Caenorhabditis elegans: one gene and its partners. The protein of the gene in region 3 purifies or fractionates together with the protein of the main gene of each other region. This does not show direct contact. Each region holds a gene or a part of one and is shown on either strand. Other genes may lie near its edges. The genes, in order: cey-1, nhr-37, vig-1 and ZC196.2.

What was found.
Region 1: the proteins of vig-1 (region 3) and cey-1 fractionate together in Caenorhabditis elegans (co-fractionation; one large-scale study listed by BioGRID). This does not show direct contact.
Region 2: the proteins of vig-1 (region 3) and nhr-37 fractionate together in Caenorhabditis elegans (co-fractionation; one large-scale study listed by BioGRID). This does not show direct contact.
Region 4: the proteins of vig-1 (region 3) and ZC196.2 fractionate together in Caenorhabditis elegans (co-fractionation; one large-scale study listed by BioGRID). This does not show direct contact.

Annotation. Positions count from the first base shown.
Region 1 is NC_003280.10:11,038,848-11,046,221, forward strand, and holds cey-1 (CSD domain-containing protein), read right to left. Parts: upstream 2,360-7,374; 5' UTR 2,281-2,359; coding exon 2,266-2,280; intron 1,900-2,265; coding exon 1,393-1,899; intron 1,281-1,392; coding exon 1,176-1,280; 3' UTR 501-1,175; downstream 1-500. Other genes in the region: srlf-15 (SXP/RAL-2 family protein Ani s 5-like cation-binding domain-containing protein), read left to right, coding at 1-18, 98-190, 248-493; col-83 (Nematode cuticle collagen N-terminal domain-containing protein), read right to left, coding at 5,288-5,680, 5,729-5,923, 5,970-6,194, 6,847-6,915, 6,963-7,121.
Region 2 is NC_003283.11:6,619,204-6,627,504, forward strand, and holds nhr-37 (Nuclear Hormone Receptor family), read left to right. Parts: upstream 1-2,990; 5' UTR 2,991-3,064; coding exon 3,065-3,234; intron 3,235-3,283; coding exon 3,284-3,342; intron 3,343-3,936; coding exon 3,937-3,998; intron 3,999-4,050; coding exon 4,051-4,245; exon of another isoform or gene 4,246-4,252; intron 4,253-4,298; coding exon 4,299-4,604; intron 4,605-4,651; coding exon 4,652-4,746; intron 4,747-4,992; coding exon 4,993-5,108; intron 5,109-5,155; coding exon 5,156-5,307; intron 5,308-5,355; coding exon 5,356-5,454; 3' UTR 5,455-5,573; downstream 5,574-8,301. Other genes in the region: ppt-1 (Palmitoyl-protein thioesterase 1), read right to left, coding at 5,574-5,771, 5,984-6,082, 6,346-6,436, 6,486-6,656, 6,716-6,953, 7,003-7,102.
Region 3 is NC_003280.10:1,317,837-1,325,757, reverse strand, and holds vig-1 (Hyaluronan/mRNA-binding protein domain-containing protein), read right to left. Parts: upstream 4,722-7,921; 5' UTR 4,611-4,721; coding exon 4,547-4,610; intron 4,426-4,546; coding exon 4,312-4,425; intron 4,265-4,311; coding exon 4,081-4,264; intron 4,023-4,080; coding exon 3,596-4,022; intron 3,545-3,595; coding exon 3,197-3,544; 3' UTR 2,685-3,196; downstream 1-2,684. Other genes in the region: fcho-1 (FCH domain only protein 2), read right to left, coding at 5,504-5,629, 5,673-5,732, 5,780-6,006, 6,607-7,060, 7,137-7,381, 7,461-7,587.
Region 4 is NC_003283.11:8,736,674-8,745,102, forward strand, and holds ZC196.2 (Major sperm protein), read left to right. Parts: upstream 1-2,762; 5' UTR 2,763-2,763; coding exon 2,764-2,938; intron 2,939-4,359; coding exon 4,360-4,600; intron 4,601-4,667; coding exon 4,668-4,782; intron 4,783-4,825; coding exon 4,826-4,939; intron 4,940-4,995; coding exon 4,996-5,316; intron 5,317-5,514; coding exon 5,515-5,586; 3' UTR 5,587-5,638; downstream 5,639-8,429. Other genes in the region: ZC196.3 (DUF713 domain-containing protein), read left to right, coding at 1-93, 143-226, 271-432, 478-594, 639-689, 804-959, 1,009-1,197, 1,246-1,425 and 1 more.

The DNA of each region.
Region 1 (7,374 bases), 9.7 Mb from region 3:
GTCGGCGATCAGGACAAAGTCAGTTCCTCTTATTTTTGACGCGTTGCCAAGCTTTTTGGAAAAAAACAAATTTCTATTTTTAAAATTTTTTTTGCAGTTCTACGAAATTGTACAGCATCCAACGTGGAGCGGTGCCGAGAAGAATAAAAAAATCGAAGAGTTCATGAAGACAATGTCCGACGAAAGACAGGTTAGTTTTTTTTAATTGGTTTCCAAAATTGGAGTACTGTAGCTACGTATATTCCAGTCCATGTACACCAACTACCGACGTGACGTCATTGATAAAGACCTCGAGGATAAGCGTCGCAACGTGGATCGTGCCGTGAGCCAAATGAGCAAAGAAGCGGTGGAAGAGTTCCAACGAGTCGTCCGAATAATGCATGATCCTTCTCAACCGGAGAAGGAGAAGCTCAAGAAGATCGAAGAAATCTACTCGAAGCTTCCAGATTCCATCCGCAAAGAGTTTGATGTGAAGCTGAAGGGATTCAAGTGACTCGTCTAAATAATACTTAATTTATTTGTTTAGTTAATTTTTTTTTGCTTTTTTTTTGTTTGAGTCAATTCAAAATGCAGAGCAAGAGCAATAATAGAAATCGTTTTTGGAAAATAAATTTAATGTATGTATATCAACTATTTCAAGATGAAGGGCGAAGAGGTACTTGAACATTAAAGATTCTCTCAAAAAAGGGGGAAAGGGTACAGATATATTATGCTTTCTCGTTTTTCTGTTAGCAATATACTCTCAGAAAGACAGAGCAACACAAAAAAACAAGATGGGAAGTCATCAGTTGGTCTGGTGTGTGTGTGTGGGTGCTTGCTTGTTGAATTACAGAGATTTTCGGTGTTGATGGTGTTACAAGAAAAGTTTTGGAAATCCGAAAGCGAAACAGGTAGAATTATATATTTTTTTGTTGGGAGGAGAATGGTTTAATTACGAGAATGATTCAGGTTGTGACGTGTTTTAGAGGGGGAGCTTAAAGTAACTGTACTGCAATAATAATTCACGAGTTAGGAAAACAAAAGAAAGAAGAAAGAATAAGGGAAAATGTAATATAGCGAAAGTTCAAAGTTGTGGGTGTGTGTGTGGCGAGATGAATTGGGGGAGTTGGGGGTTGAAATAAAAACCTAGTTGCTCTCTTAATTACTACGAGTGTTACTGGTTACTGGAAAATTACTTAGGCCTCGCTCTGTCCGCCTTGTCCTCCACGGCCTCCGCGACCGCGTCCACCGCGTCCACGGCCTCCACGACGGCCACCACCACGTCCTCCGCGTTCACCGCCCTAAAATATGGATGTTAAATTTCGATCAATTTAGAGTTTTGAGAATTTTAGAATGAAAAAAAATTGGATCTAAAAATACTAGTTTTAAAACCCACAAAACAAAAAAACCTACATCTGTGTCACGAGCAGTCTCCTCTCCACCACTGTTGGTACGGCCACCACCACGTCCACCGCCACCACGACGGCTTCCACCACGACCACCTCCACGTGGAGCACCACCTTCCTCGGCGTCTCTTGATCCAGAGTCGTGTCGGATTCCACCACGTCCTCCACGTCGTCCACGTCCGCGTCCACCACGTCCACGTGCTGCATTTTCAGCATCACGATCGGCAGCATACTTGGATCCTTGAACTGGTCCTCCATCTGGTCCTGTTACGCTGGCCGCTTCGAGACCCTTGGATCCTTCGACAATGTCGAACATGACCTCTTCATTGTCTCCAAGACTTCTCAAGTACTTGTTCGGGTTGTTGTTGATGATGGCGGTCTGATGGACGAAGATGTCTTCGTTGGTGTCAGTGCGGTTGATGAATCCGTATCCGTTCTTAACGTTGAACCATTTCACTGTTCCCTTCACTTTTGTAGCCTTCACTGGCTTGTCAGCTGGTTGCTCTGCCACGTCCTGAAATAAAACGATAATTAAGAAATTAATTAAAATTGCAAGATTTGCTTTAAATTTAGAAATTTTCAAATTTCATATTTAGAGCTCAATTGCTCTGGATTTATTAGGATCTCGGAAAGAAACGAATTTTAGAGCTCATTTTTCTTGTCTCGTTATTTTCAAATCTCAAGGAACATTGCCACTTCAAAAAACGTCAGCTGACCGCAATAATGAAAGTGTTGTTTTCCGAAAATTGTCTCAAATATTTTATTTGTATTTTGGGTGGTGGTGGTGGTCGCGTTGACCGATGACCCTCCATTCCGCGTGCTCTCCTTTCGCAGGAAAAGTAGCCTCGTCGGATCAAAGATCATAGAGACACACACTTACGTTTTTCTCGGCCATTGTTCCGCGCGCTTCTGTTCTTCCTCTGGTCTTACCGGCTGTTACTTCGTGTGGCGCGACACAACGATTGAAACCCTCGCTGAAAAAATATGAAAATTATGAAGAGTTGAAATTTGTGTGGGGTCAAGAAGCTCAAATTGGAAGAAAAAAGAAAAGAAATTGATAATCATAGGGAATAGCGGAAAAAAAAACAAAAATTATACGTTTTATCCGGTGTAGCACAGGGACATTTTTGGTCGAGAAATCATAAAACGGGGGTGGAAAGTTTTAAATAATTATTTAATTTTTCGTTTTCATACTTTCTATCAAAATTATACCTTCAAAAATTATTAAGAGCTTCGTCAGTCTTTCTTGTTTCAATATTTTCACAAAAATGTTATTTTTAATGTGATAATTTAATTTTTAAATCAGGAATTAGTTTAGAAATGTAGGAAAACGTTTGTTCAACCTGAAAAATTTGCCATTAGAAGTGACTTTCATATATTACTTGTAGTTTTTTCTCGAAATTTTCAAGTAATAAATATTATTTTCAGATCGAAAAAGCATTTTTCTGCATATTTAATGCAAATTTTTCATTTTAAAACTTAACACTGAAATTGACAGTTTTTACGTATGCGGTAGCTTTTGCCTTCAACATCAAATTATTCTCCTCATTCTCATCCTAATAACAAGAGTAATAAGAGAAAAAGTAGTGGGGGCGAATGAGTGCGAGTGTGTAAGCTGACCTTTCGATGCGGACACCAACATTAAACGATTGTTAGATACGAGAGAGATGTTGAGAGGTGCGGGAGACGGATGAGCAGCGGTCAGTGTAACAGAAAAGTTATTGGTTGATGAAGAAGTACACGCCGGAGCAGCTCTCTTCACTGAGCCCCGAGCCTCGCAGCTGACAAAATAGAGAACAAAAACAGAATAATCGATAAATGAAAGAGGTGTGCGCGGTTAGAAGAGAGAAAGAGGAGGAAGAAGAAAAAGAACATGAGGTTTCAATCCTTTTTTGGTTCGAAGAACTTCGCGTGACTTTAGAGAACTCTAGAGGCAGAGACACATGATTTTCGAACTATTAAGACTCAAAATAGGGGATTTAATCAAATTACTATTTAAGATAAAAATTTCTGACTTGCGAGGGTATCTTTTGAAAAATTAAATATTTTTCTCTAATAAAAAAGAGCAATCCTGAATATTTGACTCAGTTTGTCGTGGAAACCCGTTTTCATAGATATGCGAATTTTAATGAAGGTATATGTAAATCTACATCCATATTCTAATTTCTGAAAGACCAGAAAAGCAAATTTTTGGGAGAATCTAAACCTAGAAACTTCTTCTCCGAAACACTCCCCAATAAACAACGATTGTTTTCTCGAAGACCGAAAATTGCGAATTTAGGAATGTTCAGGTGGTTGTTGGGAGGAGGAGAAGGCGGCGAAACGAAACAAGAAAATTTTTGACCCGATTCCGTGCTACAATGCCTTTTGACCTTGCAACATTCTGCAGCAGCATACCAACAACGCCGTTGTTTGCCCTGTGTTAGCTTGAATGTTTTTGGGTGGGGGGTTTGCGTATTTTTCGAGCAAAGTGAGATGGTAAAATACTAGTAGTTGGTGAAACGAATAGCACTGTAATATTGAACAAAACTGGAGGAAGGTAGGCAACGCAGAATAATAATGAGATGGTCGAGAGAGAAAGAGATGAAGAAACAAAGAGATAGTGAACGAGCAAACAATAAACATTTGATAAGCGAATTGATGATGAGCCGGAGCACTGTCACAACACGGCCGATTCGAATGGTTCAAATACAATCGAAAGCGAAGAGAGAGAGAGAGTAAATGAACACCGAGGGGTACGTGTTGTATGCGTAGTTTCGACTGGGAGGCCACCACTGCTCGACCCGTCCGCCCTTCCCCTGCTGGTGCTATTTCGCCGTTCCTTGCACATTCTCGGTCTCCGATCTCTCTAGTTTCGGTCGGCCCGGGGCTTGTGTTGTTGGCCTCATACACACGAAGAGAAGAAGAAGAAGAAGAAGAGCGCAAAGGGTTCTCTCGCACACTCACATACCCCCACACACACACACGCACACGCACTCACGCACTGCTGCTGGCGGATCGATAGAGTGCTTGCTCTTTTTCTCTCTCGGCTTAAATGTGCTGCACAAAACTAAATAATGCATAATTTATCTGAAGAATCTCTGAAAACGTTGAAATAAAGAGCTAGAATGCGGAAACAAATTAGAAACTATACGCAGAAGGGGATTAAGAAATGCGAGCGAAGAAAACATTTTTTCTTCGCTTTTTTGTTTGGAGGACGACAATTAGATCGGCGGGAGACAAAATAGGTGAATTCCCGTGGATTTATTGATGGGAAACAAACAAAAGTAGACCACCCAGTCGGAAACCTTGTTCGAAATGGTTTTTGAGCGGGAAGACACCGCGGAAGAGGAGAAAATTGATGAAAATACACTAAAAAATTATTTAATTTTATAATTTTGCAGAAAAAAACTCGAAAAACGTTTTAAAAAAAGGCGAAAATGAAGAAAAAGAAGTTTGAGTTCGAAAAAAAAATATTAGAAAAATCAAATTTTGCTAATCGTTTCGATACCCATCGCTTGATAGGTATGCGCCTTTAAGATGATTACGGTAGGCATCAAATTTTCAGGCACAGAAAAAGTGGGCGTTTGCCGGGAACTGAACGGAATTTAAATGTTTAAATCAAAATTGATATCTAAAAAAAATTTCATTTTGAAATTTTGCGCAATCAAGTTGGCAATTTCATCAAAGGAACCCTAGGAGCAGGGATAAAATATTTTTAAAAACAAAAATTATGCTAGTGTCAAAATTGCATCATTGGTTATACTGGGTGATTCAATGCAGTTTCAGATAAAATCTAATCTTCGACAATCTCGGCCTTGCCTTTTTGATTACGTCATTGTGCGTTTTTTGTTGATAACCATTTATCCCAACCATTTATTTAGTTAATTACATGGGAAATATCAAAGATTGAGGCCAATTGATCAGTAACCAGGGCTGACACGTGGAATGGGACAAGCCGAACATCCTCCAGCAGACCCAGGAGGCCCAATATCTCCTGGTGGGCCTCTCGGGCCATTCAAGCCAACACGACCAGGAGCTCCTCGATTTCCAGGTGGACCCATTGAGCCCACTTGTGAAAATCCATCGATTCCTTTCGGTCCAGGAAACCCCATTGGTCCAGGTGGTCCAGATGGTCCACTTGGTCCTTCGACACCTCTTGAGTCTTGAGTCATTATGCCTGGATCACCTGGTGGGCCGCGAGGACCAATGCCTCCCGGATTACCGGGTGGGCCTGGAGGACCTGGGGGGCCTGGTGGGCCTGATGTAATATAGAAGTTTTTTGGGCCAGTTGGACCTGGAGTACCGCGGGGGCCCTGTAAGTAAAGACTGACTGATTGAAAAGTTTTAACAAATAGGCCTACTTTTGGTCCTGGAGGCCCTGGCGGCCCACTTCTCGCTGGTGGGCAATCAAAGCAGAAATCATCAATTTCTGGAAGTACGGTATCTGGAACATTAGCTCCAGGAACACCAGGATAACCTTCGGATCCATCGTCCCCGTCATTTCCATCAAGGCCCGGAATTCCAGGAGGCCCAGGTGGACCGAAAATACAGAATTGCTGAAACTAAATATGAAAAAACTCAGGTCAGGCAGGAACTACCCACCTGCTGTGGGCTGTGAACAATGGGTTGTTGAATCACTGGCTGCTGAACTACAACTGGCTGGGAGCATCCTCCACCTCCACCACATGAATGCACTGGATGTATAGCACACCCAGTCTCCTGACCACAATCCGATGGTCCACCACAATTTGTCACATCGTTACAGTAATTCATGAAGAATTGGCGTTTTCGACGTTGGGAAATTGCAACTCCTTTTGACGTTTCGAGCTGGAAAAGGAACCGTAAAGTTAGATCAAATTATAAAATCTGTAGAATTTGCCACCTGTAGCTGAGACACTGTGGCTGAGATCGTGGCGAGACCCAGCCGGAATTTACGCATGCACCTTTAAACTGGCATGTCAAAATTTTACGGAATCACGATACAAATAATTTCAGAAAATAGAAAATATGTAGTAGAAAGCTATCACGAAAATTGTGAAAAATGGTTTTTAAAAAATATTTTCTGATTTTCGAAAAAAAAACTTGATTTATTTCTGACAAATGTATATTTACATTTTCTAGACACTTTTTCGAACATTCCTCTGCTCGAGGCGTCGTTAGTACCTCACTCATGCCTTCCTATCGCCTACCTACGGTGCTTATTGTGTAGGCGCAAGGCAGTCATAGGTCGCCTTGAAGGTAGGAATAAGGCAAGTTTGTGCTTACACTACAGCAAACATGAAAGGAAATTTTAAAAAAAATTGAAACTCAGCAAAAATTGGATAAATTGTTGTGAAAATGTAAAACAGCCAAGAAATGGGCAGAGCCTGTATGTTAATATATTTCGAGTACTTTTCGATTTCCGAAAAATATTCTAAAAAATAAATAAAAAGCTAAAATAGACTCCGCCCATTTAATGGCTTCTTTCCACAAAACTAACCTGAGACAGAATGTCCCATAAATCGTGAGATCTAGACACACAATATCGTAGCTCATATTCTAGTTCGTTCTGCAATAGACTTCAAGCTAGCTGAAATTATGTTTTTTTATTGAAACCTGAAACGTCAAAGTCTTCGCAAATAAAATAACACTGCCAAATAATCCAAGTAATATCGCAGCTACAGTAATCCCGACAGAGATGAGAGTCACGACACGAAGTGTCCGAATTTCAACGTCATCTGCTTCCGGTCTATGCTTCTGCTGCTGCCACGTCATCAGAAGCCTAGAAGGAGCGGAAAGAAACAGTTGAATAGCTGTTAGGATGGAAGGATATGCAAACACTAATAGAGAATAAGTGTGTGGAGTATTCAATTCTAAAGTGTGAATAACTAGTAGAGAAGGAGAAGGATTTCGTGTTCTCATCTTAAGAATAAAAAAACAATTGGCGATTTTTCATCTTAATAAAATGATGATTTAAGAAAAACAAAAAACTTTTGTAGTAGGATAGAGGGAATGGGAAACAAAAAAC
Region 2 (8,301 bases), on a different chromosome or scaffold from region 3:
AAATTTTCAAGCTTCTGTTACAACTTCTTCTTTATACATTTCTGCTGCAAACCTTTAATTCCTAAAATCTGACACAAATCCGACAAGTGCCCTCAAAATTCCATTCAAGTACTGGGGACGTAAGATATCAATCGTTGATCGTTAAGCGCAATAAAATCACATAAGACGATCGAGTCTAGTTTGAACGAAATTATTTTCATTTTCGTTAATTAGCAACGTACCGTAGTTCAAGCCAATCAGCTAAGTGGTAGCTTAATTGAAGACCGCCTTTCAAAGAATGTAAGGAATGGTTTATATAACAGTTGCAAAAACATTTTCTTTCGGCTTCATAAAAAATCAATGTATTATTGAAATAATTGGTGGAGTCAAAACAGATTAAAAATGTGACACACTGTTGTAGTTAGTAGTTTCATCTATAGGTTTTATTTCCGAAAAAAACACTATTATACACCAAGAAGTATATTTTTCATTGTTGATAATTTTCATCAAACATAATGGAGATATATATCAAACCGGAAAGTTGAAAGTAAAACTCTAAACATGCTACTAGAATGGAATAATGTTTATGGGCATCAAAAGTTAGAGTGAACTTGAGAATTTTATTTGTGAGTGATGTTAGGGTGATTTGGTTGGCCTGTTAGCCAAATTGCAGGAAACATAAGGCACAAACGCAGTGAGTAATCTACCGTAAATTAGACAACATCTATTTGGGTTGCAGCAGAGATTTTGAGGCTATGCAAGAAAGGATGCTTGGGAATTATTGGAGTTGAATCTTGTAAAAATACTATTTCCACGTTTAGTAATGCATCTTATTGCTCAACCCTGACAATCTTTTGTTTTGCAAAATGATTTGCCACTGACAAAACATGTATGATTTTTCTTCAAAAGTTTTGTAGTTAATTAAATTTAAATATGGTAAAGTGGATGGGGTGCAAGAATATAATGGAATCGTCAAAACCGTGAAATTAAATTGCAATATATTGAAGTAATGGAAATAGAGCAAAGGTTCAGTATCATTCAGTATCATTTGTACATGCCATATGTTCCCTATTATACTTGCACATCCTTGCTGCACTTTGGCAGTTAATATCTTGGTTTCGTTTGCTTTTGTCAGAAAACTGTAAACTGACAAAATACGTGCTAAATAATCTTCTGTATTTCACTAACAGTATATTTGTGATTAATTTTAGTACAACCGAGATATGAGCCGTCAAAGTAAAGCAATTGGGGTACAAATCCAGTAGGGAAAATATGGTAGACTTGTTAACTTGAAATTAGTCTTCAGTTTATGTACTATAGGACTAAACTTATTTGTATTTATTTTTTTTTAACTTGAGGGAATAGTTTTCCTTGACATGCATACTTAATAAAGCGGTGAATTGAATTTATATGAATAACATTGTTGTACTAGTTGTTACTTTGATGCTACTTTTGCAAATTGACAAAATATCATGATATCTCGGAAAATATGCGAACTACATATTTGGCAAATTTATTACTCATCGGGTAAGAAAATCGGAGAAAACATATCTGATGTCTATCAACTGATCTAAATGAATAGAAAAATGATTGTTCCCAATTGAATCAGTCTAGATCAGGAACTTTTGAAACATATATACAGTTATATGCCCTAAAAATGAACAACTTTCCCCGTCAACAGACACAATATTTTTCTCTTTTTCTGGTCTCCATGTCCTATTTCATGAGTCAAGTGTTGTAGAGGGCGACGATAAGACATCGGGCCCAAACGCATTAACGAATCATCTTGCGGGTCGGGAGGCGGGATCTGTCAAAAGTTTGCAGCGTTTGGCAAAGGTTCGAGGCTGGCAATGAAGATGCAAGGATGGTGGACGGCTACCTGCAGATGACAGTCTATCGGAGACGCAGACTAATCAGATGACATTAGTCTTTTGAAAGTTTTGCGGAAGTCCAATTCGGCGAACACAGGTCGCGTGTGAATCGATGCTCGTAGACCGAGTAGCAATTGACAGCTAGAGATTGACAATTTATGAAGAGACGCAGACAGATGTGAACATAGAAACGACAAAAGACATACATGTTTCGAATTAGATGGACAAGATCGGTTGCCTCTATATAAAGTAGCTCAACGTATTTTATCCAAAATTCTAAATCGGTCACTATCAATCTAGCAATTCTAAAATGTTTTTGTTTCTGATTTTCCGCAATTCCATCGAAGTTACAATTTTGACTTAAAATTTTCTATCACAAATCATGTACCAATGTGTGCACTTTTAAAAAAATTGTACAATGTATGTAGCAGTAATCAGAAGGGGATTGTTTTCCTATAAAATTCAAGAAAACCCAAAATTCTCACATTCCGAAAATCTTTTTTTTCTGACTTTTTTCCTTTTTGGTTCATCGAACATAAAAACATTTTGAAACAAATTTTTGAGGTGGTCTTTTCAAGTGGAAAGTAAATTCAAAATCTTTTATCATCAGATCGAATATGAAATTTCTGAGTTTTCTATTTTAAGAACTTTCAGTATCTATAGTATCCCTAGGCACATTTTTAAAACGTTTCATACAACTCCAGCTAAAGTTTTCTGAAAATACGGTTAGCCAAATTCACCACTTCATCCTGATAATTGTCATTATGCTTTTCCTTCCACTACAACTAGACTATCTCTTTTCGGAAGGGGGTGAGATTTTAATTGTTTGTCTGAGATTCCTACGTCTTCGACCAGCGTAACGATCAGAGAACATGCCGACATGACGTCTTCCCCCAGCCGAAAATGTCTCTCTTCTGATCTTGCCTTACATGTGAAGAAAAGTACCAAAAAATTGCTGTGATAACTTTGTGATTTGAGGCTGGGTTTTCAGTCTCAAAATTTGACATGTAGGTACGTTCATTTTTCCTTCAAGTTTCCCTCTTTTTTTTTCTCAAATATAAACCCTTTTCGGTGGTCACTTGATCTTTTCCTCTCCTCTCTACGTTTTTCATTTCTCTAATAACATATCTGGTAGAGATCTCTTAGAATGACAACACCCAATTTGCATATTACAAAATGATGATCACACTTTTTTTCCTTCTCAGAATCTAAAAATGGTACCTGACAAGTCATGCTTGGTTTGCAAAAAAGCTTCAAATGGAATGCATTTCGGTGCACTCACCTGCCGAGCGTGCGCCGCATTCTTTCGAAGGGCTACTGTACTGAAATTACAGTATAAATGTAAGCAGGGGAATTCAAAATGCAATATTGATGGTCGTGGAAGGTGAGTTACTATAGTCTTCAAAATCAGAAAATTCACGTTTTGTTTATAGATATGTCTGCCGGCAGTGTCGTCTGACAAAGTGCAAAGCAATCGGGATGAATGAAGAGAGTATGTTTTTTTTTCCAAAAAAATAAAAACTTGCAAGATTTTCAAGTGCATATCGTGCACATCAAAAAATTTTACATCAAAAGTTTTTGTGAAAAATTGTTGCGAAAATTGGTTTGACAAATTTTCAAAAACTTCATGTGAATAGGTTTTGTGGAATACGCAGAAAAATAATTTTTTCTGAAAAATAAAAAATCCTAACAAAATTTCTAGATCATCTCTATGTTTGATTTTTACTCTTTAGGCTTAGAAAGGATTTTTTCCGAAGTCCGAAAATTACAAAAATATTCCAAAGGTTTTTTTTATAGCTTAAATAATTTCAAAATGAGGGCATTAAATACAAAAGTGCCCTATTTCCTTTTTTTACATAATGTTGAATTTTGAAAATTGCTAAAAATCACCACTCATTTTTGCTAGTGGTGAAATAACTAAATCCTTTCCAAAACACAAATAAAATTTCAATTACTGTCAAAAATTTTGCTGCCATTCTTTTGGAATTTAACCAAAAGCGTTTTTTTCTGCAAATTTTACAGAGTCCAATTATTTTTCTCTTCTTTTTTTCTCTTCTTTTTCTAGTAAAATATACTCATTTTTCAGAAGTTCAATTGGACTATGACCCAACGTACTCGTTTCGCGGTTTGATGGAGGATAGTGGAAGTGTGAGTTTTGTTTTTTAAATTAAAAACAATTATTTTATTTACTACATTTCAGGACGAATTCTCTACGCCAAATGGAAGCCCAGCTCAATCTGATTACAGCCCGACCAACTTGAGCCGGAAGAACTCGGTGGAGTCACCTGGAATTGATCCGAACTTTTTGTTCACCTTCTCGCCAAAAACACCGGATAAGCCGAACATGGTTATCAGTTTTAATGACTTGGTGAAGAAAATTGAAACGTCATTTTCGGTAAGTTGAAGCGAAAAACATTGAAAGTGAAAATTTTGTTATTTTATGTTCAGCATAAAACAAAAGGCGACGATTGTGAACTGACTACTTTGACGTCTGCATTGAAAAAGTTTAGGAAAAATCAAAAAGCTCAAAGTCAAATCTCTTTTCTTGACAAAGTCGAGCTGAAATCTGCTATTGATTGGCTCAATGATCGAATCTATATGTACTCTTGTTGGTTTTCCTCTTCAAAATCTTTAATGTCTCTACCCATGGATCAAAAAATGCAGCTCTTCCGATCTTCTTGGAATGTCGTTAGAACATTTGAGCGCCTAGAAATGTCTGTCAAGATTTTTGAAGAAGGAGTCATTCGAGGAGGAGTGAGAATAGTTTTTAATTATTTTTAAAAATATCAACTGTTTTTCAGTATATACTTATCAATGATGATCTCGCAATGAAATTGGAATCAACTCATATTGACTTTGCCTCGATAACTGATCTCACGAATCAATATTTCAACAAGTGAGTTTTCTGTTTCAAAAACTTTGAAATGCCCACAATTCGCTGATTGAAATTTGTCAATGTTCTGAAAAGCCTACTCAAAGTTGCGTTGGTTTTAGGATCACATTTTGATACAGCATTTTCTTTACTATAAAATTAATTGAAATACTGAAAATTCAACAAAACAATTTTTGCCGCTATGTCGAGAAAGATATAATGATGAAAAATCTTTGAACATTTTTATATTTGTATTTTTGTAATTTTCAGACTATTCGAACCCTTCCTACACCGTTACATAGATGAAGTTGCAAGGCCACTTCTTGATCTCAAGCCAACTACGGAAGAAGTCGTTTTTTGTATGGTTCACCTTATTGGACTTGAAGGTAAAAAAAAAAAACATCAATCAAATTTTTATTAACTTTAATTTTAGAAGGTGATCTTTCTCATGAAACACGAGAAGCTTGCGAACAAATGCGAGCAGAAATTGCTGACCAAATGCACGTTTATTATACAAATCGGACGGATATCAAAATGTATTCTCATCGGCTTCTGATTCTTATGAAACTGGTCAAATCCATGAAGGTTTGCCAAATTTTTTTTTAAGTTTTCTGATTTTCCCCCTATTTTTAGAGAATCTCTCGTGAGAAATCAAAGATCAAGGAGCTCTTCTGGCTTTTTGACATCTTTCATGCCGAAATCTCGGAGCCGTATTTTTTCGAGATGTTTTAGAAAATGATGGGAACCCAAATCAAGAAAATGCTCACACAACCAGTCATGATAATTTCATAATTCATTTTTACGTACGAGTTTTACAATACGAGTTGTTTCTTTTTGAAAATCAAACAAGTTCACATAAAATATTTTTTGATAATATCGTTGACAAGCACACTTCTTGGAATTTGCAAGTGATCTCCATCCACGTCCATAAAATGGATTCGTCCACTCTCATGAAGCTTCTTCAATCCAATACGATCCTCTTTGTACAGGTCGGTTTCGTTCATTGGGAGAATTGTGTCAATATCACCGTCTTTGTAGAACCCGAACCACTGGAATAAATTATTGAGACTTTATAAAATATTTCAGCGTGAGAACCGTGACAGGTGGTACAAAATGTCTGTTGCCTGTGTGGCTCTTTGTACCCATTAGAATGAGAATACTCGGGAAAACTCCGGCCTGCATTAACAAGCTTTTGGCGACCCTCGCCTATAGGCGACTATAGTCTACTTTCGGAAACTGCAAAACAAAAAAAACCACTCACAGATGAATCCTTTGGTACAACCATATGATCTTGATTGAATTTCACCAGAACCAGGTTTTTGAGACTCAATAAGTTGCGTTTGTAAGTCGGGTTGTTATTCTGAAACAAAAATACTTTTTTTTTCAATTATTTTAATGATTACGATTTTCTAACGATTTTGAAATTCAAATGTCAACCGGCAGGAATAATTTTTAGAAAAGAAAATAAAGCACCACCGTTCATTAAACTAATCCCGGCGCATCTTTTTACAGAAAAAGTTATAATTTTCAATCACCAAAAACAGTTTTTTCAAAACAAAAAAGGACCAAAATGTACAGAAATTATTAATTAATACTTCAAAAAAATGTTTTAAAAATCCTTACGTTTTCGTTATTGATATCAGCCAAGAAAATAGAACGTTTTTTATACTCTTCGACTTGATTTGGGTCGTGCCAGTACTGGGCTTGAACAACTCTAGAAAACTGTTAAAAATAATGAAATGAAAGACAAAAAATACTCGTACCGTTTTTGTACAAATGGAAGATAAGCTCCCAAGTCAATGAGACGTCTCACGCCATTGCACATAATATTGTCACCAATGCAGTACGGGGCTCCAAAAACTCCTTGATGTTGACCACCGACTGACACCAAATTCTTCATTGGTGGATTTGGGCATCTTTGGGCAACCGCTCTCCTGAAAAATTGCCGTTCTACAAAATTTTTTAAAATTTAAATTCAATAAACGCGATTTACAAAAACTGTGCTCCTTGTGAGAATCCGATCGCATTATATCCATTCTTTAGTTCAGGATCGTTCTTAATTTTGATACATGCCATATAGACAAGTTCATTGGTATTTGCATAAAATCCATGCTCAATGTCTTTTGTAATACTAGATCCCAATTGAAGACTGTGAACGTAAACTCCAGGAATTTGCTCCTCGAATAGTTTTTTCACAGATCCCATAGACAACGGATTGCAACAACAGTCACCTAAAAATCATAATGTTCGCACTTTTTCAGTAATTAAGTTACAACTAACCCATTCCATGCCACATGACCACTGGAACCTGCTTTGTAGCATTCCGGAATTCTGCTGTAGTTATGGCCAGTAGGCAAAGTAGAAGGGGAAAATATCTCATTCTTCAAGAAAACGAAGAAATGATTAGAGTGGGGTCAAATGAGAATGGACAAAGAGGTCGGCTGTTTGGCTCAACAACTGATAAGATAAGATTAATTGGCTCATTCGGGTTTATTGATTGATCATGCTAGAAGGCAAAACAATTGATAGAGTTTTTCGATTGAATTAATAATGAAGTTTGAAATCCTGAAAATAAAACCAGAATACATGACAATTTTTAGCTTTATAATTTGCTTGGCTGGCTTGAATCGAATAATTGATTGAGTTTTGAATAACCTCGCAAAGAGTTACTAGGCCGTTGTCTATGATTTCAAATCATAACAATGATCCAAATAAACATACGCAGGCAATTCAACAAGTAAATTGGATGTTCAACGAAAACTACGACCCCAAAAGCCTTTTTCATGTTCTAACTTCAGTCTGTAATTTTCTGTTTTAGATCTGTACCCACATGGCTCTACTGAATGTCGTCGATTCTGTTGGATAAAAAGAAACATTTTGAACTAAAAAGTGTATGATGAACCATTCTCGAGCCACACCAATTAATCTATTTGACAACTTACACTTTATTTCGGGCTGGAAAACATATTTTTAACTTTTAAATAATAATTTGTTAACACCCGAATTGATTTGGTCGAGATCATTGAATACATTTTTGCTAATTTCACATGGAAAGATTGTTGGATAAACTGCGACGAGAACCTGGCATGACGCATTTTTAATCGACCGTTAGCCATATGCGCACTGTGAGTTGTGCACATTATCCCTCACGGTCCCATGGCCCCATCTACAATTTCGTCTACAATGTTGCGAGATTTTTGAAGTATACATATGTACATCGCAAATTACCTGTTTCACACCTTTTTTTTGCCGTAAATTCATTGCTTCAAATAACAATGCTTTCATAGAACAATCTGTATTTGCCTCTTGAAAAATAATAAATTTTGCCATTACATGTATTCTCCGTTTTTTCCTTTTTCCTCCACATTTTCTATTGAAATACACAATTAGACGTTCCCGGAAAACACGCATGCAACCAACTTGTAATCGAATCATTTTTTCCTCATTCCTCTCTATTCTCCAACCATTTCACCTACCACGATGCGAGGAGAGTTGAATTTTAATTTTTCTATTTATTATTTGCTGTTGTTGGAATAATTTCCATCGCTATTCGCTCATTTTGTTTCCTTTCTTGTTCGC
Region 3 (7,921 bases):
CGACGAGATAGTATGTGAAAGTGAGAGACGCAGAGAAAATGAGAGCAAAAAAAAGATGTAGTAATGAGTGGGAATAGATTAAGGGGTACCCCCTGAAAGAGGGGGGGGGGGGGGGGTGGGGAGGTGCAGGTTTTTTTCGAAAAACCAAAAAAATTTCTCAAAATCCAACGATTTTCATAATTTTTCACATTGAAATTCGATCTCAGCACCTCATTTCACCCCTAGAACACTTTTTTCAGAGGATTTTGAGATTCTGTGCATTTTCGCGTAAGGTGTGCGGTGTTTGCGGACTTTTGGGGCTACAGTACCCCCCAAAAGACAAATTTGAGCAGGAAACATAAGAAAAATGTTAGAAATTTAATATATAGCCCTATAATTTATTTCCAGGCGAATATATCTTCCGAAAAAGAAATTTTGAAAGAAAAAACTAAAAAAATTGAATTTTCAATGTTTTCAGGTATTTTTTGATAATTTTAACTGTCAAATTCAAGTTCAGCGCCTCATTTCACCCCTGGGACTGTTTTTTCCGATGATTTTGAGATTCTGTGCATTTTCGCGTGAGAGACTCGGTGTTTGCGTACTTTTGGCGCTACAGTAACCCAAAAACGTCAAAATTGTGCAGAAAACGCGGGAAAAATTGTTCAAATTCTCGAAAAACGGGAAATTTGGAAAAACAATTGCAATTTTTTTCGGAAATTTTCAAATTTGAGCAAGAAGCTTAGGTCTGCTAGTTCTAAATCTGTAGTTTGTAGTCTGGCAGACCAAAAAAAAAATGTTGGAATAGATTAAGGAGCACATGAAGACGCCGAATTTTTTCATTTTCTTCTTCTTCTCGATCTTCTTTTTTATAGATAGAATGCATGCCAAAATGAATTCAGGAATTACAGAATTTCTAATGAATACGTGGATATGGGGCATAAAACGATGACGTGGCAAAATGTAGTTTGTAGTTTACAGCGGAATTTTAGAAAAAACGTATACTTTTTAAAATTGATAACTAGAAACTAAAAAATGACTTGAATTCTATGAATTTTAGCAATTTTTCATTATGAAATTCAAACTCAGGGCCTTTTTTTACCCCCTGGTCCATCTTTTTCAGACAATTTTAAGTTTCTGTGCATTTTGTCGTAAGATGCTCGGTGTTTGCGTACTTGTGGCGCTACAGTACCCCGGAAATTTGAAAATTGAGTCAGAACTTTTTAATTATCGCTAAAAAACGAGACAAAGTGTAGTTTTAAGTAAAAAAAAAATCGAAAAATCGAAAAAAAATGGGTCTGCTAAACAAATTTTCGTAGTTTGTAGCCTAGCAGACCCAAAACACAAAACCCTCCTCATAAATTTATTTAAACATTAATATTAATAGTCTACATAAATTTCCTATTCTCTAGAATTGAAAATTAGTATGTATTTAAGGAGACACAGAAAAAAATGACGTGGCAGCACTACGACACTCCGATATCCCGGTAGATCAAATTAGGTCAGACAAGAGAAGAAGCTTCGGGTGGGGGGCACTGAATTGCACGGAATTCAATTAGGAAAAGGAAGGGGAAATTGGAGAAAAAATACAACTTTTCGCGGGGTCTTCAAGATTTTGGTCTGCTAAATACAAAATGTAGTTTGTAGTCTAGCAGACCAATTTGGGGGGCCCATTTCGAAGCTCTAATTTTCGCAAAATGTTGACAAAAACTGAATATTTGAAAAATTATCTGTTACACAGCAGCACAATTCATTCAAAACATGATAAAACTTTCAAAAATCGGCCAAAACTCACGTCAGCTTGGGTCTAATTCTTTTGTGTAGTTTGTAGTCTAGCAGACCAATTTAAGGGAAAAACCATTTTTGAGCATTTTTTTTAAAAATAAAATGAATTGTACTTCTCTTCTGCTGTAAACAGTGTCTTGAGAGCTAAAAACTGAAAAAAAAATCCCTAAATTCAGTCAATTTTTAATTTAAGATTGGTCTGTTAAATAATTGTAGTTTGTAGTCCAGCAGACCCATACGAAACTCTAATAATTTGGGTCTGCTAAATACGACTTGTAGTTTGTAGCCTAGCAGACCAAAACTCTTCAAAAGCTCATGGGTCTGCTAAACACAGACTCTAGTTTGTAGTCTAGCAGACCAAATTCTCATTGGTCTGCCATTTCAGAATTGTAGTTTATAGTCTAAAAAGCTTCTCAGGGGACCTAATTCAATTTCAAATTCGGACGCCGCTGCTGTCATAAAATCGTTACTAAACTTGCGAAATAGCAATTTCCAAAGAGAGAAGAGTCGCAGGAAGATTTAATTAAAAATTAAATTATTTCGAACGCAAGCTCGCTCTATTGAGAATCTGAAGAATTAAAAATTCTAATTTAGGCGGCTAACAGAAGGGAAATCAATAAGAAGTGAAAGGAGAGCAAAAGTTTTTGCCGAGCAATGGGGAGGGGGGGGGGTGCTCCCTCTCTCCCGCTGAAGAAGACGTCGCGGCTCTCTAAAAGAGGCGGCAGAGAATCAGAGCACTCGGCTCGCGGCCTAGAAATGGCATGTGTCAGGCCACGCCCCTGTGGTTGGTTTAGACCGTTTTATTACAAAATACGGATACAGTTGGGTGGGGGGGGGGGGGGGGGGTGTGTGGAGGCAAAAAGAAGAAAAATGGGTGTTTGTGTGTGTGTGTGATATAGAATGATTGGGGTGTTTAACACAAAAATGATGCTTTATCAAATCTTGTTAACAACAAACTCCAATTAAAACGAAACCTGGGCGCAATGGGGTGGTGGTTGGAAGGGGCACAAATTGAGTTTCCTAGTACTAGTTCGTTGATCCTTGACACAATTGAGACCTTTTGTTGTGTCAAATATTTGGTAAAGAAGAGGTCGTCTTGGTGGGTGTATGTGGAAGATCAAGGGATTCAAAGGGCTTAAAAATTAAAGAAAAAACGGGAGATAACAAGCAAACCAAATCGAGGGCAACTCATCAGAAGAGAGATCGATAAGGCAGGTGATAACAACAACAAGCTAAATGGGGGAACTAGAAAAAAAAGAAAAATAAGAAACAGGCATTTTGGAAACGAACAATTTGTGGGGTAGATGGGCACAGGCAAAGATATTGAAAAGAGGAGAATTTTGAAGAAAACAAGATGGAGAGAAGAACAGAGCATTTGAATGAGGGCGGGCGAATTGGTTGGTTGGCTGAAGGTCGTTGAGTGGGGGGGGGGGAATTACTTGGCACCGAGAGCTGGGAAAGCATCGTCAGAAGCGTTGAATGGAGTGTTGTTGCGTCCTCCATGACCTCCTTGACGTTGTCCTCCACGGCCTCCACCGCGTCCACCTCCTCTTGGTCCTCCACGTTGCGGCCTCTCAGAACGGTCGTTGCGCTCGCGTTCTGGACGATCGTTGCGGAAAGTGATCGAAATGTCGAGCACTTGCTTTCTTGGAGCCTTGTGGATTACGACGACCTCGTCTTCCTCACGATCTGGGATGACCTCCTTCTTGATTGGAACGAGCTTGCCAAAAGTATCGGCGGCTCCCTCTCCGGCCTTTCTGGTGTTGAACTTTGGAGCGTCAGCCTGAAACAAAAAAAAAAATAAATTCCAAAACTAATATTTTATACGACTCACCTTAGCCGCAGCCTTGAACTCCTTAAGAGTCTTTTGCTTGGCAAGAACAGCCAACTCAGCCTCGTAGGCGAGCTCCTCAGCGGTCTTCTCACGTGGAACCTCTGGCTCGGTGCTCTCAGCGCCCTCTGGAGCAATGTTCTCGGTTTCTCCAGCCAACTCGTCCTTCTGGTCTCCCCAGTTGCCCTTTCCGTGTCCGTCCTTCTTGTCGAATGAGCGAACTCCGGTACGGTCGGATCCGGATTGACGATCGAATTGACGCCCACGTCCACCACGGCCTCCTCCACGTCCGCCAGATGGTCCACCTCCAAGGGTGAATCCTCCACGACGTCTTGGGGCACGGGTATCTTGTCCGTCTTCGAAAGAGACCTCTTGCTTTGGCTCCTCTCCTTCTCTGTTCTCGCGAGTGAATCCTCCGCGGCCTCCACGTCTAAAATACAAAGTTCAGTAAAATGAAAAAAAAAATTAAAAATTTAAGCGTTTCTTACCCAGCTGGACGAGCAGCACCGCGCTCACCGCCTCTGCGGGGTCCTCCACGACGGTTCTCGCCTTGTGGACGATCACCGTTCTCGTTGGAGACACGTTCTCCGTCACGTGGACGGCCGGCTCCCCCGCGTCCGCGACCACGTCCTCCGCGTCCACGTCCAGCAGCACCGTCGGTTTTGGTGGCGGCTGAAATAATGTTTAATTAATTTAAGAATAGGAATGCCAATTCTTACCAACTGGAGCAGCGGCTGGCTTGACCGGCTGGGCGGGCTTCACAGACTTTTCCTCCTTCTTCTTGGCGGCGATTTGAGACACCTTTTGGATGAGCTCTCTTGGGTCGTCATACTCTGCAAATTATCGATTTTTTATAATGTCTTCTGGGCGGAGTATATCGCATATGAATATTGCGCAATATCCCATCGGGAAGATAAGATAATCATCCGGCGATCATCATCATCAACCACTCACCATCGTCGTCGTCGGATGGAAGACCGAACTTGTTGGTGACCTGGCAACCGTATTCAGTGCTCATTTTTGCTGTTTGTGTTGATTCGATGAAGATAAGATTCCAAGTGCAGGAAGCTTCTGTTCAATTCAATAATTTCAATGCCAAGTTAATCAATAACCCATAATATGGGGATACCTGCAAGAACGTTAGTTTAGATTTCAAATTTTCAAACAAAAATCGATATTTAAGAAAAGAGTATAATTAGCCAGACACCGTTGCGATATTTTAAATCAGTTAAGCACTTTTCACAACTAAAATCAAAAAATAAAAAAAGCAAATTGCATTTTCTTAAGGGAATTTTTGAATGTTCCAGAAAGAAATCGAATCAAAAGTCAGAAAATCAACAATTGCTCAAAATCCACTATTTCGGAATAAAATAAACATTTTTCAGTGCAATTTTGATCAAAAATCGGTGATTTACTGCTAGCAACCCAAAAAATTACAAAAAACCGGCGAAAACGGTCAAAAAAAATCGGAAAAACTGTTCAAATCGGACAGGTGAAGGTTTGGCTGCGTATCACAATAGTGTAAACTGGCGTTTGCGAGCCGCTACGCAGCCAAATGCGACCGCCGAAATGGGCGGCAGTTTGAAATCGAAAACTAGTCCTCGGCCATTTTCAATCAATTTTTGGTTGGGGGAAAACTTGTTTTCCAATTGTTTTTGTTGTCTTAAAGTATTTGAAAAGAAATTTATGACATTTCCAGCCCAAAATGTGTGTAAAAAAAGTAAAAATGCCGGGAAAAAGTATTTATTACAGCGGGGGATAACGAATAATAGTGGAAAAACTCGTTTGGTGGTGAAAAATTGGAAAACTAGAAGTTGAAAGTTTGTTAAAATCACAGATTTCGCGAGAATTATGCTATATTTACACAGAAAAATTAAAACAAAAATCAAATTAAAAAGCTCTTCATCTTCTCTATTTCCGCAGCTCGGGATCACAAAAATATTTACCAGCGAGCACCTTTTTACGAATCATAGACAGGTGATAAATATCCGATTGCACTAGGGAAATGTCCACTCCAGATAGATTGGCTTCCAGGCACTGAAAAAGATAAATTAAGAGCTTAAATTTCAGTTTTTAGTACCTGAAATTGCACGAAGACCTGCGCCGGCTTCCGATCGAGCATTTCCAAGCTTACTTCGTCCTGGAAAATTATATATTTTTTATTTTAAAGCAATTAAAAAGCCCGACCCCAGAATTCTTCATAAATATCCTTGCTTTCAGCGATCCGTGCACATCTCCATTTCTTGAAATTTCCAGCAAATTCCAGCCGAGTGACGGATTTCCAGCCACCCATTTGGCTTCTGGCTCACACATCACAGAATCCACGCTTCCCGTCAAATTTGTGCTGAAATTCACGTTGAGAAGTGGCGCCGAGATGGAAGATTCTGAGTTGAGGCGATAGTCGACACGGAGATCTGAAAAGAAATGCGGATTTTTATTATTAGGCTTTATTTTTGGCGTTTGCATTTAAAAAGTACTACAAAAAACTCAATTTTATTTAGCAGACTCAGCAATTTTGCCAATTTCAATAAAAAATTTGGGTCTGCTACACTACAAACTACAAAATCAAATTTAGCAGACCTATCAATTTTCTGCAGTTTTTAATAAATTTTGGTCTGCTAGACTACAAACTACAAACTCTTAATTAGCAGACCCATCAATTTTCTGCAGTTTTTAATAAATTTTGGTCTGCTACACTACAAACTACAAAATCAAATTTAGCAGACCTATCAATTTTCTGCAGTTTTTAATAAATTTTGGTCTGCTAGACTACAAACTACAAACTCTTAATTAGCAGACCCATCAATTTTCTGCAGTTTTTAATAAATTTTGGTCTGCTAGACTACAAACTACAAAGTCTTATTTAGCAGACCAATCAATTACTGCGCTTTTTAGGAAATTTTGGTCTGCTAGACTACAAACTACAAACTCTTAATTAGCAGACCCATCAATTTTTCGCAATTAATATTAAAAATTCAAATTTTCTCAAAAACACAGAAGATTTCTCGACGAACCAGTGTGTCCAGGTTCGAATTTCCAGTACGACGTCAGGAATAGCGGCGGAACCATATTACACGGTGCCGTCGGCTCCATTTCGAACCGCGCGACCTCCGCGTTCACAAATGCCGCATCCGGCTTCGCGAGCTTCTGTGCTTGAAGCCACGTGGCAAGATGGGTCTTGTTAAAGTAGAAAATGCACATCTCGTCGTCCTTTTTGCTCACATTCTCATCGATAAGTTGCTTGTTGGGGAGCACTGATTTAATGAATTTAGCATTTGAGAGCCGGAATGCTAGTGGCTCAATTTCGTGTTGGATGGACGTGAGAAGAGTTATTGATGACGTTGGAAATGATATCATTACGGTGCCGAAAGTGCGCTGAATGAACTCTTCGGCTCCTTTTTTGAACCAAACATGCACGTGCTCGTTGATGGCCATGGCTAGCGGAATTCGCTGTTCGGATATTGTGGCCTGAAATTTGAAAAAAAAATCAACATTTTCGAGTTTCTTGAACCCTGAATCTTAAGCCTGAAGCCTGAAGCCTTACCTGCAATAAATTCCCGGTAGACTGTGACAAATTAAACGTGGATTCTCCAAGGGAATGATTCGATTCACTGGGCGCCAAATTGAAAGTACTACTCCACGGATCCATAAAGCTGCTCGCCGAGTCCTTCCGGCTCATCATTTGGCTCGTGGTGGGAGTGTTGCTTCGGGGCCGAGCTCGTGCGATTCCGGCCGCCATCGCCTGGTTATGACCCATGGAAACGGAGAAGGCAGGAGGATCCTCGGATTCTGGAATTAGGATTTCTTTTCAAATTTAGGAAATTCTACTAGAAAAGTTTAAAATATCGAAGAAAGAATATTAAATTACCACTAAAATTAGTCCTAAACCGTCCGTCAGCAGTGTGATGTGAGCGTAGAGGTTGCCGAAGGGAAGAGACATTCATCGACTGAGAGAACATCAGTGGAGCTTTTGTTCCGCCAATCGTCCAGGGATCCTGAAAGATTTCAACTACAAACTACAAAAATAGGTTCAAAAACCGGAAATTTGAGCTGAAAATTTCAAGAAAATTAGTAAAAACGTGCTTTTTTACTCCAAAAACACAATAATTTGGGTCTGCTAGGCTACAAACTACAATTTTCGATTTAGCAGACCCTACAAATTGTCAAAATTTTGAGGTTTCAGCCATTTTTAATGGAATTTTGAATTTTTTTGTTGAGAAATCTATGAAATTCGCATTTAAAACCGGGAAATTTGAGCTGAAAAGCCAAGAAACTTGGTAAAAACAGGCATTTTTTCTTTGAAACTGTGTTTTTTAATCTAAAAACACA
Region 4 (8,429 bases), on a different chromosome or scaffold from region 3:
ATGTCCTCATTTTTTACATTTTTTAAAAAATCTGTACCCGCCGTTAAAATAAATGTGGAAATGATTGAAAACTTCAATAAATGCGATGGCGAGGTAATTCTTCATTAATTTTCACTAGCGATTAATTTTAAAAAAATCACAGGGTAACTACAAGAAGTTTTACAAAGAAAATCTTGATTTTCTTATGTCACTAAACACTTATCTTGAAAAAACATCATTTGATAAAGTGAGTTCTATTAATTATACATTTCGCTATTGAGTAAGTTTCAGGGAACTCTGGAGATATCGCTCTGCAAAAATTTTATACCATTATTTGATTATTTGTCTAGTTGGAACCCTGAGAGTTCAGAATTTGAAATGATCGACACCTCATCACTTGAAAAATATGTTCCAGAAGTTTTAGAAGATTTAAAATATGCGATTTTCAGCTCTGTGAGTTTTTAACTGAATCCTTTTTGAAGATCGGTTTCATTTCAGAATTGGACTGATTTTTATTTCAAGTACCGAAGTGCGGTTGATACAATCATTGAACTATCCAGAAAACAAGGAACCGTTGATATTTCTATTCAGATTGGTAATAATTCATGTGAAAGTGTAAGTTTGGAATTAAAGATCGAATTAACCATCTACACTTTCAGTTCAAAGACAGAGATTTTCGTAGGTACACTTATTATAAACTGGGAAATATTGTGAGTATTTCATACTTTGTTTTTTTTTTCTGCAGATTACAAAAAAATCATTAGAATAGTAGTTGTAGTAGAATCATTAGAATAGTAGTTGTAATTTTAGGATTCATATTTCAGTCTGAAAAACCAGAAAACCGTGAGTTTGAATCCACATGCCAGGACGAAATAGATTCATATATAGATGATCAAAATTTTGAAAGGAAGTTGGAACAACAAGAGGCAATTAATTCCAAAGAATTGGAAGAGATGAAAAAGAAAAGAGAATTGAAAAAAGTAATGATTGGAATAATTTAAAATTTCTAGCAATGTTGTATTTTTATAGAAAGAGTTCGAGGCTGAATTAGAACAAATTCAAAGTCAAATGAAAAATCGTTTTATTGCACTATTTGAATGTATCAGATTAAAACAAAGATTTGAGGAAAAGGAAGAAAAAGTTGCTGATTGGATTCAAAATTGCTATAAGCAACCGATCAAGAGATTCCTAGAATATTTTCGAGATTTTCAGAATGTGGTAATTTGCATTTGCTAGTGTTTAAACATAATTTTTTTAAACATTTAGGCGCGTGAATGGAAATATTTTAAACGCTTACCGTCGGAATCACTTCAAGATGCATATGAAGAAATATCAATTCTTTCAGAATGTGTATTAAGCCTATTTGATACTCTTGAGTTTCTGTTTATCCAACTCGGTGAACAACATGACATAGCTACAGATGCATTATTCATCAAAGTTCTACAGGTACTCTCGTGTGTATTATCTTTCCAATGAAAATCCAATTTTCAGAAAAGTATAATTGATTTTGCACTTGTTTTATCATCGATTCTGAATATTCTTGATGTGAACGCCCCGTCCCACGAATGGTATAAACAACTCGAAAAGTTGTTTTTTATGATAAAGCTCAGTGACATTCCGACAACAACATCACTACGAAAAATTTGCAAAAAAGCCGTCGTTTCCAACTATGAGCAGTTAGAATTCCCGAAGATACACCTCAAGAGTTACGTCGTGATCCACGAACAAGACAATGTTCAAGCAGAAGAAGTTTGTACTTCTGAAAGTAAATGTGTTATTTGTTAAGTGATATAGATAATTTATATTTATATTCACTTCATACATACATATGTATTTACAAATTATATTCACTGAATGAAAAATTGATTTCTTTTAATCGACATACTTCGATGCCTTCAGAATCACAAATAAATTATAGAAACTTAGAGAAATTTAAACAAGTTTCTTGCCTTTGGAGGAAAATTGAAAACATCCAAAAAGTATGATATTTTCAAGGCAGTTTTCTACACACCGTCTCTGTGTTCATCAAACATCGGAGATCTGCTTTCATTTTCCGTGTTCAAAACAGTGTTTCGTAAATCTACTTCGTCTCTTTCAACAACCCTATCTATCCTATCAACCTATCGCTGGTTAGTTTTGACAAAATTAGGGAAGAGTCTAATGTTCAACCTAATCAGTTTTGCAGAAGGTAGAAAACAGAGTTGAACTCACATTGAGACGTCGTAGAGAATAAAACATTTAAAAAGTGAAATCGTGGTTTTTATAATCTCTCAAGTTTCGAATATGTTTTATCATGATTTGTTTTCTTCTAACTGTGGAACTTTTTTTGCAATTTATTTGGAATGAATTTTTGTAAGATGTTGAAATATGTACACAAATCTTAGCTATCTTTTAGCTATTGTAAGTAATTGTAAATGAATGTTTGGGGTTATAATAATTACTAAAAAAAACGTTTTTAAGATGCTGAAAATGATGTTATAATCTTTATGAGTTTTTGAGTGAGTTTTTATTGAAAAAAAAACACTCAGAAGTGGAAGACTCCATAATTATACTTGTGAGCATGATTTTATGTTTTGAAGACAAAAATATTGTGTTCTCAAAATAAAAAAGATTTGTTTAGTTGTGTGATCAACATTAATTTGTAAACAATCTTATCAGCATCTCTCTCGCGTTTTAGTCATAGCAATTCGTAGCGTTTGTTCTTTCGAAAAACGTTTCTCTCATTTTCTTGAAAGTTTCTTTGCTCTTTGAACGTTTCTTCGCTAATTTTGAATGTGTTCAGGAATGTGTGGTAAAACAATTCTTCTTGAAGTGACTCCCTGCGACAATTTTGTGTTCAATAAATCAACAAATCTGACTGATACTGCCTATGTTACTCTGAAAAATATATCTGAGAAACCAGTATGTTTCAAAGTGAAAACGAGTGTACCAAATATGTATGTCAGTCGACCAAATCCTGGTAAGTCACATTTATTAGAAAACTTTTCTCAAAAAATTACTTATGTATTAGGGTGAGCAATAAGTTTTTTCGTATTTTCTCAGTTTTCATCCTTTCTCAAATATTTTGTATGTGGTACATAGTATTCTGTTAGTAGTGCGAAATATATTGATACCATATATTTCCGCCCACTTCCAAACTGATTCATCCTCAAAACTTCGCTCGAAAAAAATATCCAATTTTTTCGATTTTTTCGGATTCTTTGGGAAATCCAAATGTCAGTACTCCGTGAGGTATTAGACCATTAGTTGTATACATAATATTAATTAAATTCAGAACTGAGCAGTATTAGATACCTTTTTCCCTTTTTGTTCAAAAATATAAAAAATATTACAAAAAATTACAGCAAAAAAAATACATTTTGATTTTGAGAGGGTATAAAACCGACATCGTAAAAAAATATAAGTACGGATGAAACTGCAATGTTGTTCTTCAGATTAATAGCAACATTTCTGCAGTTGAACACTTTTTGATATCTAAAACCAGTAAAAAGTGACAGGCTATTTAGTCAGAGGCACTCATTTTCGCTGAATCTGCCACATTCTTACGTTTGCCTACGTAGTTTTGTTAAATCTGAATTTATCAAAAACATTTTTCACAAAAACGACCAAACTTGTTGAATATGAAATCACAACATGTAATAATGTGTTTTTTGTTTTTGTCTTAACTTGATTTTTGCAATACGTGCAATTCGCAAAGTTATCTTAAAATTTTTTTTTCTCGAATTTTTTTGATTCAAATTTAGAGAAATTTTCTCAATCTTTGGTGTTTTTTGTTCCAACGCTTGTAACTTCCTGGATAACATTGTTATCAAAAACTGATCAACTGAAAAGTTGTGCACAAATATGTAATAAACAACATTGCAGTTGAACACTTTCTGATAAATTAAGATTTAACAAATCTACGGAGGCAAATGTAAGAATGTGGCAGATTCAGCGAAAATGAGTGCCTCTGACTCAATAGCCTGTCACTTTTTACTGGTTTTAGATATCAAAAAGTGTTCAACTGCAGAAATGTTGCTATTAATCTGAAGAACAAGATTGTCGTTTTATCCGTATTTATATCTTTTACGATGTCGGTTTTATACCCTCTCAAAATCAAAATGTATTTTTTGTAATATTTTTGAACGAAGGAAATTTAGTAAAATTTGGATTTCCCAAAGAATCCGAAAAAATCGAAAAAATTGGATATTTTTTTCGAGCGAAGTTTTGAGGATGAATCAGTTTGGAAGTGGGCGGAAATATATGGTTTCAATATATTTTGCACTACTAACAGAATACTATGTACCACATACAAAATATTTCAGAAAGGATGAAAACTGAGAAAATACGAAAAAACTTATTGCTCACCCTAATAAATACAATTTGAATCTACTGCTTCAGATTTGCTGAAACCTGGAGAAGCGAGGCAATTATCTGTCAAGTTTCGATCGAGCGACAAAGTTAGCCTGAACGCAAAATCATACAAGCTCAAAATAGAATCATGTGAATTTGAATCTGAAGATATTGATGATTTGAAAAGTTTCTGGAGCAGCATCCCTAATGAGAAAATACTTGTCCATAAGTCACCTATTATTCTTGGGACTGGAAGCAGCCCAGATTTTAGAAATGATCAAATTGCATCGTGAGTTTTCGTTTTTCTTAATTGAAATATCTTAAGAGAGATCTACTTCAACAATAATTTTTTTTAGAGAATCTTCGAGACAATCATCTCCTATTCAAAATGTTTCTGATGATGGCAAAAGTTCACATCATTCAACAGCCAAACAATTACAAGAAAATAATGAAAATTCAAAGAGCTTAAAGGTTGTGTTAATTTGTTACCTAAAAATAACAATCATAGTTTTAGTATACTAAACAACTGGTTGAAGTGCCTTTAGGCGAAAATCAACAAGCTGATCAAACTGGAACCACCTGTGATAAAAAAGACGAGTTTCAAAAAAAAAATCAATTGGAAGTTGAGGTTAAAATTAAAAAATATATTATTTTTAAAAGTTCTTTTTATAATTTTTTTTGCAGATAAAATTTGTGGATAAAATTCATGAGATCAAGTCCCAATTAGAAGACAGTTTTGAATTAAAATTGAAAGAAATGGAAATGAGACTGGAGGAAAAGTTCGAAAAAAGGATATCAAGATTAACACAATTTATGGAAACAATAAGTTTGTCAAATAGTCCTGGGAACTCTAGACGCGTTTTTGAATTGGACGATAATTTTTCAATAGTCGCAAAAAAGGAATTGGAACAAATGCGACAAGATTTCGAAAAAGTGCTAGATGGGCAGAACAAAATAGCAGAAGAGAAAATGAATGAGTTGAGGAAAAGAAGAGAGGAGCTTCAAGTATGAATTTAATTTTCATTTGAAAGAAAAGTAAAGTTGTTGCGTGGTTTGTTTTTAACTTTGAACGCCCAAGTTTTTTTACCGAATTTAAAATTTTAAGGTTTTTTATTGAAAAAAAATCAATTTTCAATTTTGTATTCGAATAGAAACTTTAAAATTATTCAAGGGCCAGACCACCAAAAACATGCATTATTACAGAGAGAATCAGACGAATTGAGAACTATGGAGGAACAACTTGGCATAACGGAAAGAATCTTCTGGGCGAATTGATAAGAAATTACTGTTTTTTTTATTTACAAATTTTAATAAAATTTAGAACTTTTTGGAAGATTATAACAATTTAAACAATTGCCTTTTACATTTTCTCATATCAGGTGTAGATGACAACCGCATAAATGTTGGACAATGTGGTAAGATTTTCGCGGGACTTTACGAGGACTTATAAATAGAACACACCTGTTAATTTGATTGTATTTAACTGTAGATTCTGATTTTTGGTATTGTACATATGATAGTTCTACCGTTTTGTTTGTTTTCCAGTGAATATTTGTTGCAGATAGAAGATAAACTTTCATTATTCATAGTTTAGACATAAGACATAAACCCCTCCCAAATTTAATGAAAGTGTGAGATGATTGATTTTTCTTTCGGTATTTCTCACATTTTCAATAAATTCTTTCTCATACCTATTTCATGTACACAAACTCTTATCGAAAACACAATTTAGACGTAGCAATACATTTCACTGTTCTCTATCTCTCTTCAGTCACTAACTTCATTAGTTTCACTGCAAAACAAAAAGTATTCCAGAAAAATGGTCCAATATTTTTGTTTTGATGCAGAAATGATTTCTTGTTTTAATGAATGCACTGAAACTGTAAGTTTTCAATATATTGTTTCATATTCTAAGTATCTAATAATTTCAGGGCTACTTTGATGAATTTCTAACAAAATATGACGCTTCTATAATAGAACTTGGTGATCAACTGAAATATGTTTATTTTCCAGCAGTAAGTAAATACATAAATGGCTAATCTATATTTCAGTTAAAGAGCACTGCCTGTAAACACTATTGTACGAATTTCAAGAAATTTTTCAATTACTTCCTACACTCACTATCAGTGGTCAACAACTTTTCTCTAAACATGATGCCGGGATTGAAAATGAGAAGACTATTGTTTCTTTTCTAAACGATTTGAGACATGCAATTGATTCAAAAGTTAGTCTATATTGATTTCTTAAGTTAGATAACAAGATTATGCTTCAGAACTGGGATGTTTTTTATTTCAAATACCGAGATGTTGCTGATTTGATAATAAAAAAAGCAAGACAACAAGGAAGAGTGGATGTTCAAATTGTTTCTAACAACGGAAAAGTGTTGGCGAATGTGAGTTTTCAAAAATAAAATATATCATTAATGTGTCACTTTACAGTTGAAAGACAGGGATATTCATAGTTTCAAAAGAAGAGTATAAGCAAAAGCACATGAATTCGGTTAGTTCATAGTTTATTTGTAAAATGGGAGGTTTGTAGTGAGATCCCATAAAAAGAACAGATTTATCAACGTTCATTGTTTTGTAATTCAGTGTGAAAATTTTGCAGTAAAATGTTGACTTGTGGGAGATTGAGAGGAATCAGAAAAACACTGAAGTTCTATTTTATTCTAGCCGATAAGTCAAACAAGAAATAATGGTCCTATTTTTAAAAAACGCCCACCCATAAGAGTCATAAAGCATCAAAGTGAATTAGCAAACATCGACTCTCCTCAATTACGGTAATTCTAATTTACTTTGGAGACAGATAACGGATATCTACTCATTCAGAACCCCGGATCGAATTAAAAACGGAAACACTCCATCTGCAACAAATTCAGCGACCTCATCACAAAAAGATTATCTAAAAACTTCCATTCCTTCTGCGAACGTTACGTCTACTGAAAAGACAGAATTTGGATCAGCCAAAAGCAGTGTACCCCGAGTGACCTGCAATTCAACTAAATTGGAAACTGCTCAAGCGACTCATGAAAATATTGTATTGGATCCTAAGAAGAGCTCTCAAAATACATTACGATCAGATAGTTATCCTGATACCGAAAAGAAGAGAATCTTGCCAAGGAATACTTCAAATTCACATCACGAAATCTGTAATGATGTATTATCACATCAAGAAAAACACGAAGAAGAAGGAAATAATGAGCCAAAAACTGTTAATGAACCCATTGAAAAAGTAAACGAGAAATGGAATTCAAATGACACTGAAAAAATAGATGAAATTATTGAAAATCTTACGATTTCGATTGATGCAATGAAAATGAATATATCACAAGAAATGGTAAGGAGATTAAAAAACATACACTACGTTTAATCAATTTGTTTTTAGGAAAAAAATAAGGTAAATAAATCAGAAATGAATAATTTCGAAATAGAAATGATATCTTCAATGAGCGAGTTAAAACAAAATATGGACAATAAAATGCAAGAAATGATGCAACTTATGAAAAATTTTGTTCAGTACGTTTGTGAAAACATAATACTACAATTTTAGTAATTTTTCAGATCAGGAAAATCAGAAAATAGTATGAAGACAAATGCAATCTCGGAAAACACGATAAATGATGTCCACCAAGAGCAGCCCGATGACAAGTTTGATCCATTTTAGAAAGAATATTTTGAGCTATAGTTGCAGACATTTCAGAAATTCAACTTCAACATTTGAAAACGGTGAAACCAGCGATGATATCAGCGCCGTCGATTTTGAATTAGTTCAGAACATTCCACAGCAAGATCAATTAAATGTAAAAATTAAAAATTAGTTGCCTATTTCTTTCGTAAATTATTTTTAGATTACAAATGAAAACGATGACGATTCAGAATCAAGCATTTTTTATTCAATTGGCAGAACAAAATCGATTGTTTAGTTTCGTCTTGATCAAGTAAGAAATGACCGTGAAAATATGAACGTGAGTACATCAAGATGCTTCCTATAATCGACTATAATTCATTCAGCGTGAGGCAGAAAAAGAAATACAAGAGAGGCTGCGAAGAATTCGTAAATAACTTAATTTAGCGTGTTGTCGAAACGTTCACAAGTGTTTTAAATCATAAAATAAAAGT